3 linked regions of the Caenorhabditis elegans genome follow. The protein of the gene in region 3 interacts with the protein of the main gene of each other region in a pairwise test. Each region holds a gene or a part of one and is shown on either strand. Other genes may lie near its edges.

The links. Proteins that work in one complex are often made in the same cells at the same time.
Region 1: the proteins of flh-2 (region 3) and lin-48 interact in a two-hybrid assay, tested with the Caenorhabditis elegans proteins (one large-scale study listed by BioGRID).
Region 2: the proteins of flh-2 (region 3) and hda-11 interact in a two-hybrid assay, tested with the Caenorhabditis elegans proteins (one large-scale study listed by BioGRID).

Annotation. Positions count from the first base shown.
Region 1 is NC_003281.10:3,743,830-3,748,106, forward strand, and holds lin-48 (Transcription factor ovo-like homolog lin-48), read left to right. Parts: upstream 1-1,608; 5' UTR 1,609-1,631; coding exon 1,632-1,703; intron 1,704-1,751; coding exon 1,752-1,832; intron 1,833-2,009; coding exon 2,010-2,093; intron 2,094-2,143; coding exon 2,144-2,459; intron 2,460-2,851; coding exon 2,852-2,976; intron 2,977-3,298; coding exon 3,299-3,463; 3' UTR 3,464-3,743; downstream 3,744-4,277. Other genes in the region: arcp-1 (ANK_REP_REGION domain-containing protein), read right to left, coding at 3,769-3,864. UniProt on the Caenorhabditis elegans protein: Transcription factor. Involved in development of the hindgut, the male tail, and the excretory duct cell. Involved in modulating function of excretory duct cells. Plays a role in left/right patterning of cell fates in the hindgut.
Region 2 is NC_003283.11:10,524,508-10,528,978, reverse strand, and holds hda-11 (Histone deacetylase 11), read right to left. Parts: upstream 2,796-4,471; 5' UTR 2,670-2,795; coding exon 2,659-2,669; intron 2,591-2,658; coding exon 2,366-2,590; intron 2,169-2,365; coding exon 2,058-2,168; intron 2,012-2,057; coding exon 1,920-2,011; intron 1,854-1,919; coding exon 1,741-1,853; intron 1,185-1,740; coding exon 1,030-1,184; intron 982-1,029; coding exon 843-981; intron 742-842; coding exon 583-741; 3' UTR 535-582; downstream 1-534. Other genes in the region: F25D1.3 (Interleukin-17), read right to left, coding at 84-215; xpo-7 (Exportin-7), read left to right, coding at 3,109-3,123, 3,170-3,307, 3,357-4,184, 4,235-4,471.
Region 3 is NC_003281.10:4,950,573-4,955,723, forward strand, and holds flh-2 (FLYWCH transcription factor 2), read left to right. Parts: upstream 1-1,551; 5' UTR 1,552-1,560; coding exon 1,561-1,794; intron 1,795-1,920; coding exon 1,921-2,382; intron 2,383-2,836; coding exon 2,837-3,112; intron 3,113-3,288; coding exon 3,289-3,516; intron 3,517-3,600; coding exon 3,601-3,702; intron 3,703-3,948; coding exon 3,949-4,059; 3' UTR 4,060-4,599; downstream 4,600-5,151. UniProt on the Caenorhabditis elegans protein: Probable transcription factor. May bind to the promoters of target genes, including micro-RNA genes, in order to repress expression, and acting redundantly with flh-1 and flh-3.

The DNA of each region.
Region 1 (4,277 bases), 1.2 Mb from region 3:
ACTCATTAAAAATAAGAATTTTAAGATTTACTGTAACTTAATTTAGTTTTTCTCGCAAAAATATGATAGCCACATTTTTGAGTTCATCGAAAGTTTCAGAGTATCATCTAAATTCCAAGAAAAAACCACTTCGGCACAGTAATACCTGCCTGCATCTAAGACAACCTTCGCCTGCCTTGTGCCTGAATACGTGCCTATTGCCTACCTTGCCTGCTCAGATACATAATGCCAAAGTTCATTCCAACAAGAAGAAGGCGCTAGGCGGCGGCTTGTAGGCATGTAGGCATGTAGACAGGAAAACGCGCCTTTGGAACTTGTTTTCTTTTTTTTTCAGTTTTTTTTTTTGAAAGTTCGTTCTCAAAAAAAAAGCAGAAAAAGAAGAAAACTTCGAAACCCCTTCCCTGAACGATTACGCAATAATCCCCCTCTCTTCCTTTTTCAAAACGGTCTTCATGTCTGCCTACCGTAATCCTCTTGTAGTCACGGCCAACCTGCCTTCTAATCGCCACAAGCTCATCCGTTGCTAAACGTTCCCCCATCTTGGCATTGGGCAACTGTTTCTTCTTCTGGTGCCATACACAATTGTTTTGTTGTTCCTCTCTTTCCAATTGATGCTTCTTCTTCTTCTCTCTAGAAACCGCTTCTCAAGTGCGCCAAGTGCTCATCCGTTTCACCAACACACAAAAGGGAAGAAGGGGGAACTGTAACCGTCTACTAGTTGCCTAATATACTTGTGTCATATATCCTTACAATTATATTAATATATCTACATGTAAGAAGAAGTTTCATGTCCCTTCTTGCATCATTTTTATATTTTCTGGCAATTTGCAGAAATTATTTTGGGGGATTTTTAAAAATTTTCAACAAAAATAAAAATAGTTTTTCAAGTGAACCAAATATTTATCTATGTTTCTAGCTCAAATTTTGAAACAATTCGATTAGGTAATTTTTCTCTCAGATATTTCAGTTTTCCAGCCAAAAACTGAAGATTTTTCTGTCTTACTGAAATTTCCTGTTATAAATGCAACTTTTTCAAAACTATATGCACAAAAAACACAAAAAAATATTTAAAAAAATACAAAATATTTTTTTCGGATTTTTTTTATTGTTGAACTAAAAATGGTTTTGGGAGAGTTTCGTGAAAATTACCCAACTTTTTTTTGTGGTTTAGGTCTAGGCTTAGACTTAAGCTTAGGCTTAAGATTAGGCTCAAGCTAGGGCTTAGGCTCAGGCTTTGCTTTAGGCTCAGTCTTCCAGCGTAGGCTTCAGCTTAGGCATAAGCTTTGGCTTAAGCCTAGGCTTCGGCTTGTGGGAACGCTCAATAGTTTTGTGTACCTCTCCCCTAAACCATCCCAGAAAAATCCTAAATTTCACTTTCGGTTTCATGATTATCCTCTCCCTACCGTGATTTTGTGCTCTCGGAGCCAACACCTCCATATTCCAATTATTCCCGACATCCGAGACATTGTACCTATTATTATCTGGCGCCGAGTATTTGAAATAATTGCCGGATTGGATTTCTTCGGTGATAACACACCCCGCCCCGACTCGGACGCTTCCGCTTGTTGTTCCTTGTTTGGAAAAAATTCCACAAAATCATCACAAAAATTTTCAGCTCTGCTCAATTTCAGATGGATTCACGGGTATGGCTGCCGCTGATTGGAGCGCATTTGCTGCCTCGAGACATTAGTGTTATTACTCAGGTATTTGAGTCTTGATTTCAAAAAAAAAACTTGAAAGTGTGAATTCAGATGATTGCAAATAATAATAATACATCAATTTCGAGAAGTAGCACCAATAGCAGCAAACCCGAAGAGAAGAATTCGAAAAAGGTAGGAATGGAAAGTTGGTGGCCTAGAAAATTAGAAATCTCGGCCATCTTGAAATTTTTATCTAATATTTTTTGTTCTGAAACCGCCTGAAATTATCTTTTTCGTTTTGAACCGCGTAGCCTAGATAGACACATTGGCAGGCACAATACTTATCTACGATGAAAGGAACATTTTCAGTTTCTCATTGAACGATTTCTCGATGATGATCCTTCACCACCAGCATCGATTCTTTCGCCATCACCCAAGGCAGCCATACCCAGTGTAAGACGCTAATCAAGGAAAATTCTAAATTTTTTTTTTCTGATTTTCAGCCAATTATAAATCCAGCAGTGGAGTTTGTAAACGGAGGCTACGGAGTCAAAAACCCCCTGGCTCCGTTGATCAGCTCCTTCGAAACCACCTCAATTCCGTGTTCAACAGTATCTCCTTCATCCCTCATCTCCTCCAGCAAAGACGAGTTCCAAGATTCATTAACCTGTCACATTTGCGGCAAAAAGTTCGGTTTACAACGTCTTCTGAACCGTCACATAAAGTGTCATAGTGACCTGAAACGGTATCTATGCACATTTTGTGGAAAGGGTTTCAACGATACATTCGACTTAAAAAGGCATACCAGAACACATACAGGTACCTCTCAACACTTTAAAGTACTCCTCTACCTCTGCCACCAATTCATAACCACTAATTTGTCGTTCTTCTTACCCTCCGTTGACTTACGGTTGGAAGACAATTGTCTGCGTCTGTTTGTCTAGCACACTGCTTTTTTGTGGGGTGTCATTGAATCCATTGTAGCGAAGCGTAATATTCCACACATTTTCACCGCAAATTGTCGACGATTCTAACTTGATTTACGGTGGAAAATCAAGGGGACCACATTAAAATTGAAACCGACAACACGTTCTGCTCATTTTAATGTATTTCTAAAAAGTTATTTGAATAGAAAATTGTTTAATAATAAATTCAAAAATAAGCAGACAAAGGCAGGCGTGCCTATCTACCTATGACCTTCTGTATTCCAGGCGTCCGTCCCTACAAATGTGAGCAATGCGAGAAGTCGTTCACTCAACGATGCTCCTTGGAATCCCATTTACGGAAAGTTCACGGTGTCACTCATCAATATGCCTACAAAGAGCGTCGTAGTAAGGTGAGTTGACAGAAAGGTATGCATGTCTGCCTACGCCTGCGTGCCTACTCTCAAAGTAGACTCAAACAATAGACAAAATAGAAATAGAAAATAGGCATGTAGGCATGTAGACATGTAGGCATGTAGACATGTAGGCATGTAGGCATGAAGGTACGTAGGCATGTAGGCATGTAGGCATGTAGGCATGTAGGCATGTAGGCATGTAGGCATGTAGGCATGTAGGCATGTAGGCATGTAGGCATGTAGGCATGTAGGCATGTAGGCATCTAGGCATCTAGGCATCTAGGCACACACCGACCGACAATAACTTCTACATTTCCAGGTATTCGTCTGTGAAGATTGTGGTTATACGGACGAAAAGTTCGAAGTCTATCTATCTCACATCAAGGTAGTACACCCCTTCTCGGCCGCCTACCTTCGGTTTACACAGCTTCAGAAAAAGAACTCATCGATGAAACCCGAACAACTTTCCAAGATCTCCCTATAATACTCACCTTTTTTCCTATTTAATTTTTAATTTTTTTTAGAAATTAGCTATTTTCCAAAAATCCTCCAAATCATCGTCATTTCCCCATTTGTTGGTGATCCTTTTTGCACCCCCGTGACTGATTTATTAACCCCAATGACACTATTTTCTCTCCGTCCAAGACCCTTTTCACCCATTTCTGTCTTCTAGATGATTCCATGATGTATTTAACTTATACCAATGACAACAAATTTTCCCAAAAAATGACACATTTTATTGAAATAAAAAAGTTTCTCCTTTTTTTATTCTTAAAAAATGTGTTGAAATCAATGACTTCCATTGTGACGTGGAATTTCTACGACGTATTTTGAGAGCCACTCGGCAATAAATCCAATAGGGTCGGCAGGACGGCGAAGTAGAACCTGAAAAAAAATAAATGCTTAAAATTGCAGCGGACATTTAACGGGTTCAGCATAATCTCTGAAGCGTGCGCGCGAAGTGTCGGCCGCTTTACTAAAGCCTTATGATGTCGGCTGCCAAACACGTTTTCTAGTTGGCACTTAAAATTTGTCAGTTTCTCGAGTAGTCGACATCTCATGGTTTTGTTATAACCCTAATCCTTATTTCCCGCTAGTGAGGTGCCGGCAGTTATACTAAGATGTTTTGAAATTTTGCTGTCAATAAAAAAGAAAGCGGCCGACATCTCCCTGCTTCAAATCCTAGCCCTAACCCATGAAGAGTCGGCTGCTGTACATGAGTGCTGACTTAAAATTTACTGGCGGCCATAAAAATAGAAGCGCCCGACGTCGGCCGGTTATGCTGAACACCTAATGGC
Region 2 (4,471 bases), on a different chromosome or scaffold from region 3:
ATAAATCTATGTAAAAATATCTAACAATATCCAGAACATGCTAGTGAAACTATTTACTCTCAATTAAAAAAACAAAAACTAACCAAACTAGGTGGTTCTTCACAATGTTTATCAGTCCATTTACCATTGACATGCCTTCGAACATTGTGTCGTTTTGCTGTCGTGCCTATCACTACTCCAAGAATTAAAATGAAAGCTGTACGGAAGCAAATCATGTCGCAATCGACAGAAGAATCAAATAAAAGATATAGGCGAGAAATGACTGTGTCTCTCTGTGTGACCCTTTACCCGATGATGACCTAGTGACATCCACATAAAGTGAAAATTTGGGAGGAGTCGAGGATTCATAAAAATTGAAAGTTTTAGGAAAAGTTCATATTCAGAGTACTTTGTATTATTTTGGATTGTTTTATTTTTAATGGAATCGGGTTGATATAGAATGTTTCAAAATCATCCATTCGATTTTAAAATGAAATTTTGAACTTGATCCTTCTATCTATTTAGTTTCCCCTGCCATTAAACAATAAAAAATAGTTTAATAAAAAATAATTTATAAGGAAAAGATATGCTGATATAACTTTTTTATTTGATACTGATGAGATTCTTTGACTGGAGATTTTCAATTGATTTTGCAATGAGAAGCGCGTTGTCCTTCTGATACCCTCCACTGGTTACCATGCAAATTGGAATTCCTTTTGATTTTGCTAGATTGAACACAACTTCGTCTCGAGCAATTATGCACTGAAAATTTGATTTTCAAAAAAATATGCAACATCTTATTTCAAAATAGACTATACACCAAATACCAAACTCGTATAACAATATTCCTTGCTTTCACACACCTGTGGACTCAATTTCATTGCTCCCAGAGGATCACCAAGTAGACAGTCTGTGCCAGCGTTGAACATAATGAAATCGAAACCAGGAGGAGTAGTTTTCTCTCTATCAATTAAACACTGTGCCAGTTGTTTGCGTAATTCGCTAAATAAAGTCGGTCAGTGAAAGCAGAAAGCCGCTATGAATACTTACGAGAGGTAGGAAGTATCAGTCGTATGACCATTTACATGAACCGCTCTGTTAATAAATTGACGAGCTTCACGATCATGTGGATAGACATATGGATTGAAAACATCAAATACAAACACATTCGGATTGTCAGCAAAGTCTCGTGCATGGCCATTTCCCTTAAAGTATGATTCAAGCAAAAAATTGGATTCTTAAATTTTAATAATTTTTTTAAACAATTAATATTGTGATTAATATTTCGAATTAATATCTAATATTTGAGAAATATCTTTACGGGCTAGACATATTTCATTCACGTTCCAAATGGTTTTCCAAAATGATACCGTAGTCTATAGAATTCTTAACGTAACTGTAAGGTAGCTAAAATTTGAGGACAATTCTAACTTTGAAAGCTCAGATATCGGCCATCTATGATTTTAGGCAAAATACTTCCTTCATGTGATGTCAGACTGTCTCATTGCGGTTTGATCTACAAAACATGCGGGACTTTTTCCCAGAAAAATTGTGACGTCAGCACGTTCTTAACCATTCCAAATCAAATGAGATGTCTGCGTCTCAACTCCCGCATTTTTCGAAGATCAAAGCGGAATGGGATTTTCTGACTACACGTGTTCCTTTGAGTTATATGCTGTCAAAGTTGAGCAGTGAAGGTGCCGCACGCATCAATAGAAAATATACGGTATTTTATATTCTTTCAAATGTTTTTTCCAGTACCTGATGAGCATCTAAATCTACAACAATCGCGTTGGCAATTGCCTTTTTGTCAAACAAATCGAAAATTGCCATGGTGATATCAGCGTAAAAACAGAATCCACCTCCGCCCGAATCTGAAATTATAGGCTGCTGTACAATCCCATAGCGTCTATTTTTCTTGCGGAATAACAAAAACATACGAGAAGCATGATGGAAACCACCACCCACGTTGATCGCCCAACCATGTTTTAGAGCCAAATTGGCAGCTAAAACTGTTCCACCGGCTTGTAAACTGGAAAACACAAATAAATGAATACAACAATTACTAGGAATGATACCGTAGTGGATGCAATAACTTGCTTTCAATAATGCACGGTGGAAGGCAACCGACAAATGGAATCTCGACGATTTGTGCTGCTTTAATAGGATTTCGAACACTTTTCAGATATCTAAAATAATATGAATAAATTTTTTTTATTAGTTGAAATTGTTGAACGCCTCATCTAACTTTTTTTTAGAATGTCAACTATAAACGTTATGAGCTTAATTATTTTCTTTCAATTTAAGTATGGGGCCATACAAACATGATTTTTTCATAAACCAATTCCACGATTCAATCACATTCACAACACTTTCATGTGCCTACTTTCTATCATGTACTCTAGTGAGTTCTTCAAATGTCGGTAGATTTGGCTCAACGAGTGTTTCATCAGTGATCAGATTCATTTCTTTCAAATGTGTAATGACTCTTCTCCATTTCGAAGAATCAAATGGATGTAAATGTTCGATTCCAAATGCAGTTACATTATATTCAGAATGATAGACAATTGGACGTTGATAACTTTTTAAACTAAAGATTTCATCTTTATCTCTGAAATTATTGATATTTTTGGCATTTCCAACTGCATGTTGTACTACAGATTAAATTTCAAAACTCACCGCTCTGCCATTCAAAATCTGCGTAGAATGAGTGGTTAGAGCGGATAAATAAAGAAGTAGTCGTAAAGATTCTGTTTTTCTTGTTTTTGTTATCAGAAAACAGATAACGAATTCTGAAAATAGTGGAAACTGCCAAAAGATGCCAATTGTGGCGAGAGAGCCTGTGGGATGTAGAGTAGGATGAGAAAGGATGGCCTAACTTTTTTATCGGCCATCCGCCGTGTACTTCACCAGGACAAGATGTTTCGTCTTTCAGAAACTCAAATCATCACCAAAGTTTGCAGTTTTTCGAAACAATTAACGGTGGGAAGACGCCGAATTAATTTTATCCGTTTTAAACATTCTTTTTGCTTTTCAAAACATTTTTCTCCTCTTTCTCAAGCTATAATTACTTCTGAATTGGATATTTTAGGAGTGAATCGCTGAACAGCGGATTCGAAGTCTTCAAAAATGGATGAATTACCGGTTAGCATTTTCAAAATTCTTAATGTGCATTCTAATCTTATTTTAGGTACTAAACAGTCTATGCAAAGATCTATATGAGAGTGTCGATCCGCAAGCCCGACACCGAGCCGAGAGTAACCTTGCGGAACTGTCAGAGTCACCCGAATGCCTTCAAAGATGCATGCTTCTCTTTGCACGAGGAGATGTAAGTCGAAATAATAAAAGTGTTAAACAATTTACATAATGATTTTCAGTACCCATACGGACCAATGGTAGCAAGCACCACACTAATGAAACTTCTCGGCGGAAAAACTAGCATCACTTCTGTTCAGAAGCTCGAGCTTGCAAAATATTTATTGGAAATGCTAGGTCAAGGTGCACCTCAATTTCCTCCATATCTCGTCACATCACTTTGCCAACTTTTTGCAAGACTCACGAAACAAGAATGGACGTATCAAAATCCCACAGAAAATCAAACAGAAGACACAAAAATTGAATATCCATTTCGTGATCCGGTTGATAGCCTTGTCAAAACAATCAACATGGATAATATCGAGGAAAGTATGCTGGCCGTGCAACTGTTAACCTTACTCGTTGCTGACATGAATTCAGCTTCGGGAATGGATTCAGTTAACAAACATCGCAAGAATCTTTCGCAGTTCAGGGACGATTTTTTATATGAGATTTTCTCGGTATCTCTGAATGTTTTGAACGATAATGTGGACAGAAATCTGAACGATCGCCAATTGGGTCTTCTTCACGCGGTTCTCAACTTGAATCTCCAATGTCTACTTTTTGATTATATAGGAAGTTTGACAGACGAAACAAGTGAAGACAACTGTAATGTGCAAATCCCAACAGCATGGAGAGCAAGTTTTACTGATGGAAAAATTGTACAGCTTATGTTCAAACTTTTAAATGTGCTTCCACAAGAATCAAGTGAAAAAGTGATGACAATAATAGCTCAATTGGCAAGTATTCGAAGAACGCTTTTCAATGGAACAGAGCGACAGGCTTACGTTCAAAAACTTGTTGAAGGAGTTGTCAGTGTAATTATGAACCCTGGGAAGCTTAGTGACCAGGTAAGAATAATGAAAAATTAAAGGCAAACATATTTATATACCTGATTTAGGCCGCATTCCACGAGTTTTGCCGTTTGATTGCTCGTCTGAAAACAAATTATCAGCTGTGCGAGCTCATCGCTGTTCCCTGCTACAGTCACATGCTAAGGTTACTCGCGGAATTCACTGTACAAAGCCTACGAATGATGGAGTTCTCAGCCAACAGTACATATTTTCTTATGACATTCTGGCAGAGAATGGTGACGTCTGTTCCATATGTTCGAAATAATGATGAGCATCTTCTCAAC
Region 3 (5,151 bases):
TTTTTCATTCTTTTTCTCTTTTTCTCTCTATCCATCTTTTTTCGGCGCGCGCTTCTCCTGGCGCTTCTCGTGGGCTCTGGGAGTCAGGTCCCTTCTGCTTTTTGGCTCCGCTTCAACGGAGTCATTGAGCTCACGAAAAGGGCATTCCAAGTTGGTATTTTTTGGTTTAATATTTATATTTTCTAAAAATTTAATTATATTGTTATTCATATAGTTTTTTGTAAGCTTAAAAAATGATTGTTTTCGTTAGTATCTAACCACATTGTAATAATTGAATATTTAATTGTTTTTTCCGGTCAGGACTTTACATATTATTCATGTTAAGCTAACTTTACAGATAATCATAAGTTTATGAAATTAACAAGAAAAACCGCAAGTCTTGTACAATACTTTCGCAAGTTTAAGGGTCTGCAGACCGGCCTGGGCTTATGATTGCTCTTAGGATTAGGCTCAGGCTCAGGCTCAGGCTCAGGCTCAGGCTCAGGCTCAGGCTCATGATGAGGCCTAGGCTTAGGCTTAGTTCGTTTTTTTTCAGATTGTCTTGATTTCTTAAAATTCGCGTCATTAGACGAAATTCCCGCTAGGTATAGGCCGCCTCCGACTGCGTTTTTACTTTTTTGACCAATCTACCATCTAATTCTAGGGTTCTTTCATTATCTCTGTCACTTTTTCATTAAATTTGTATCTTTCAAAAGTGATGAATAACTGAGTTAAACCAACACAGCATGGCGCCAATAAATCGTCCGTCGCCGCGTCCTCCTCCCTCTCTCCTCCGCCGCGGCCGCTTCCCGACGCCATTCCGCATATATTTAGTGGATTCTACTGATGTGGAGCCAATGGAAACCGGGAGAGGGGAGAGGCTCCAAACCGGCGGACGGACCCCTGCTGCGACCAGCTGGCGCCTGGCGCGACCATTTTGTTCCCCCTCACTGCATCGTTTACTACTAGTGCAGTCTCTGTCAAAAGAGCACACTCTCTTCCATTTTTTATGTTTACAACAACTCGAAGAGGGCAATCTTAAACTATTCATTGGAATTTTGGAAAACATCGGAACATTATCTAAATATTTTTAAGAAGTCTACGAATTTTGAACTTTTTGAAAAAAAGCAATCTAGCAAAATATTTTCAACTAAATAACTTTTTATCATATGTTGAGGAGGTTTAGAAAGATTGAAAGCACTACAATTAGAGGTGAATTGGAATGTCCTTGTTTGCTCTCTGATTAAAAAAAATACAAGTTCTAGTAAAATAGTTTTGTAGATCCCAATCCAAACCAGAGAAAACTCATGATCTCACAATTTTGGAATAACCCTATCATATTTTTTCAATTCTCCGATGGTACCACTTCCTTTTCTTCTATTGCACCTAAATATTAATATTCCCTTTACTTTTGTTTTTTGTTCACCTTAATCGCAATTGTCACTTAATTCCTCTATTAGTACGCTTCTTGCATCTCTTGGATTTGTTATTCAAATGTTCTAAAACAATTGAGACATACCGTGTAGATAGTTTTGAATTCATCGTATTTTCCATTAATTTTCCTCTTTTCAGACCGCCTGTATGGTGGACACCATGATGAACACAAATACAGATGGTGTCACAGCGGTTCCTCCGATCTTTCCACTACCGTCGACGACACCAAACAGAAATAATAATAATGAACTGGCGATGTTGGCACAGAAGCAAATAGTCGCCGGATTACTGTTACAACAACCAACGATTGTGCAGGCAGCGGTGAATGGAACCAATTCGCAAAAACATTTGGCAGATATTGACTATACGAATGTTATTCAGGTGAGAGATGGGCTCTTTGTGGTTTTGACTCCTTGATTAATATATTGAGTTATAGATGTGAAATTGATTCTCTTGAAAGACTTTTTAGATATTCATGTTCGAGTAAGTCTATCTGTTATTTTTCAGACTCTTCAAGCCCTTGGCACTACAAATCTAAAAGCATTCTCTCTACTTCTTGATCCACAATCCCAAACATCTCAGTTAATATCTGAAGATACACGTCCATCTGCCAGCTCATCACCGTCTTCAACTGCAACTGCAGTATCTAACAGTGGACAATCAAACGCAACATCCACGTCATCATCGTCCACAGAACCCGAATATAAACCGAGAAATGTGCGAGAAAAAGTGTATGCAGATGGATATATCATGTCATTTGATAAGAAATCGTGTTGTGGAACTAAAGAATTTTGGAGATGTGAACGAAAGAATGATTGTAATGCAAGAATGCATTCAGATATCAATACACGAGAAATTGTGAGAAAGTTACATCCACATAATCATGAGAAACCGTCGCCCGAAGAACTTGCATTTTATGAGCAAGATTTCTCTACTCTCCATCCAAATTATTGTCATCCAGTGAAAAGTGTGAGTTTTTTTGAGCTAAAAGATTTATGGTGAATATTCAAAACTTGAAATATTCAAAATAGTTAGAAATAAAAAGTCGAGAAAGAACGAAAATGTATGTACGCCGAAACGTTATATGTATTTCGATTTTTACTAATCGCCCTGCTTGAACTTCCTCTAAAATGATAAATGTTAGACCAATCAGCGATTCGCTCCGCTCATTTTCCAACCAATCAGACGGAGTGGGCGGAGTTTAAAGACGCAGTGGGCGTGGATTTTCATCGCGGGGGGTTACAGGGAAACCAGCCAAAATAAAAAAGTTTTTTTTTAGTTTTCGGTAGATCCTGTAGGCAGGCAGGTAGGCACAACACTTATTGTTAATAAAACATTCGGATTATGTGTAACTGCTAATTTCATGTTTTTTGATTTAAGAATTCCAAAATTTCCCAATCTTTTTTAAATTGAAATCTTTTAGATCAACCGATCCTACATGCAACGAAAACTGAGCCGTGCCTCACATGTATCACAAGCTCTACCAATTGCTCCACAACAAATTAAAGCTGAACCAATGGAAGTTGACACGACAAATCAAACAATTCAAAACTTTCAACAAAACAATAATTTAATGCTTCTCGCCTCAATCAATGCAGCAGCAACTGCGGCTGCAGCTGCAACTTCTGCTGGAATAAGTCCGCCGGTTGTTGGACAGAAAAGAGTATCAACGACTGTGATGCCTATCACTTTGAAATCGGTTTGTTTTTCTTGAATAATTATGCTTTGTTCAAACATCATAAGGTTGGAACTTTTCAAAACTATAGGTTTGAGCCAGAAAAACGGAAATGAACTAAAAAAAATGATACGAATTTCTAAAATTCAGGGCCAAATTCGAAAATTTCGAACAACTTTGGAATTTCTTAATATTTTCAGCAACGCACAACTCCTAAAGAAGAAGAAGATTCATCTCAATTGATGTCACAAGAAGAATTCCGTATCACTTACGAATTGACCAAAAAGCTCATGGAAATGATGAAGCCAAAAACTGAAATTGGAGTTCGATGGCAAGGAGATGAAGGGTCAATTCTTTTGTTCTTATCACATGATAATGGAGCAGAAGAGAATGTCTTCTTTCCGGTGGTTGTCATGAATCGTGATGAGGTAAGTAATATAATTTCTGGAAGCCCGAAAGACTGAAAGCAGAAAACAATCAACAATTATTTCCTAAAAATTTATAATTTTCAGAAATCCCTAATCACTGCGTTAGAAGGATTCACTGGCAAACGTTGCGAAGGAAAACTTGCTCTGTGTTACTCACAGAGGGTTAATGTGCTTGTACATGAAGCGGTAAGCGAATCAATTTTCTAAGACTAGACATGAGCCCTGGTAGAGTTTTGCTACGTGGCGGTGAATATGAGAAAACTCTTCCACTTTTCGAAATTTAGCATTGATTATTTGTATTTGTTGTAGGGGAAGCTCGAAGACCTGTGGGAAAGCTCGAAGATTTTTTCGAAAGTTTGGCAGTTTGTCAAATTTATCCTACAAAAAATCTAAATCAAGTCATTTTTTTCTAAGCATTTCTGAACCTTTCAGCTAATCAGCAATTGGACACACGGAAAACTATTTCTCGTCAACACTGATGCACCGGCTCTCTGGCGTCTAACGCCCGTCGACGCTTTCGGCGAGCCTTTAAACCATGTCTAAGTGATCATTATTCAATTAATCGATAGTTTGGAGTCATGAAATTATAACTTGACCGACTGCAACGTTTCGCTGCACGCTACATTTTATTAGTTGTCATGAACCTATAATATCGAGCTCCCGGAGCAATCATATAATTACAAATTGTAAATTTTTTTTTAAATTTATTCCAGCCATTTTCCCCTCTCAATACCTCTCCCTTATCTTGTCTCTATAATCTTGTCTGTTTCTCAACAAAAAAGCTCGTCGTCAGGTCCCCCATTTCCGGATCTCATTGTGAACTTTTCAGAAAAGTTCGCAAATTTTCATATTCCTTGTCAATTCCAATCTCTATGTCTCCCTTTTATTGTGCTCTTTCCCCCTTATAAAATTACGGAAACCACCCTCTCCAACTCAGGAAAAAACCCCCTTTATATGCTCCTTTTCTTTTGATAAAATGATATCGTTCAACTAACAATTATCCCCTGATCACTTACATCAATAAATTGTTTCTATGAAATAAAAATATATATAAAGTGGACAATTGAACATGAATAAGTAAAAAATGTTGCTATAATGTCACCATTGTGTTCTAGCATTAGTATGTCTAAGTCCATGAAAAATTGAGTACCTAATCGTAGCAAAGAGATGAGAAATAACCAATTTTGTCATCAAGTTCCGAATTCATCAAAAAATATCACAAAAGAGCTCCAACATGCTCCAACAAATACTCATCAAATTTCGTGACATTTTTGTCGAGTTAGAATCTTCAAGAGCCGAATTAATAGATGTTGCTCCTCTAGTAAAAGTGAGTGTTTGTGTTTTATATGACAAAATTAGTGTTTTTTTAATTTTGAAAACTATTCTTACAGCTTGTCGATAAACTCGGAACACGGATGTTCAATTGTTAACTTTTCAGACTGGCGGTCCGCATAATTATGGGCCACCCTGTAGTAAGGGTCGGTCTAGACTCCAATTATACATTATCAAAAATATGTAGAAAGAACATGACGCTCATACAATTGTGGCTGTTACATTGACGATTACATCAAAAACGTTGCTAGGAAACAAATTGAAACGTTTTTTATCTTAAACAATAGAAAACATGTTAGCTAA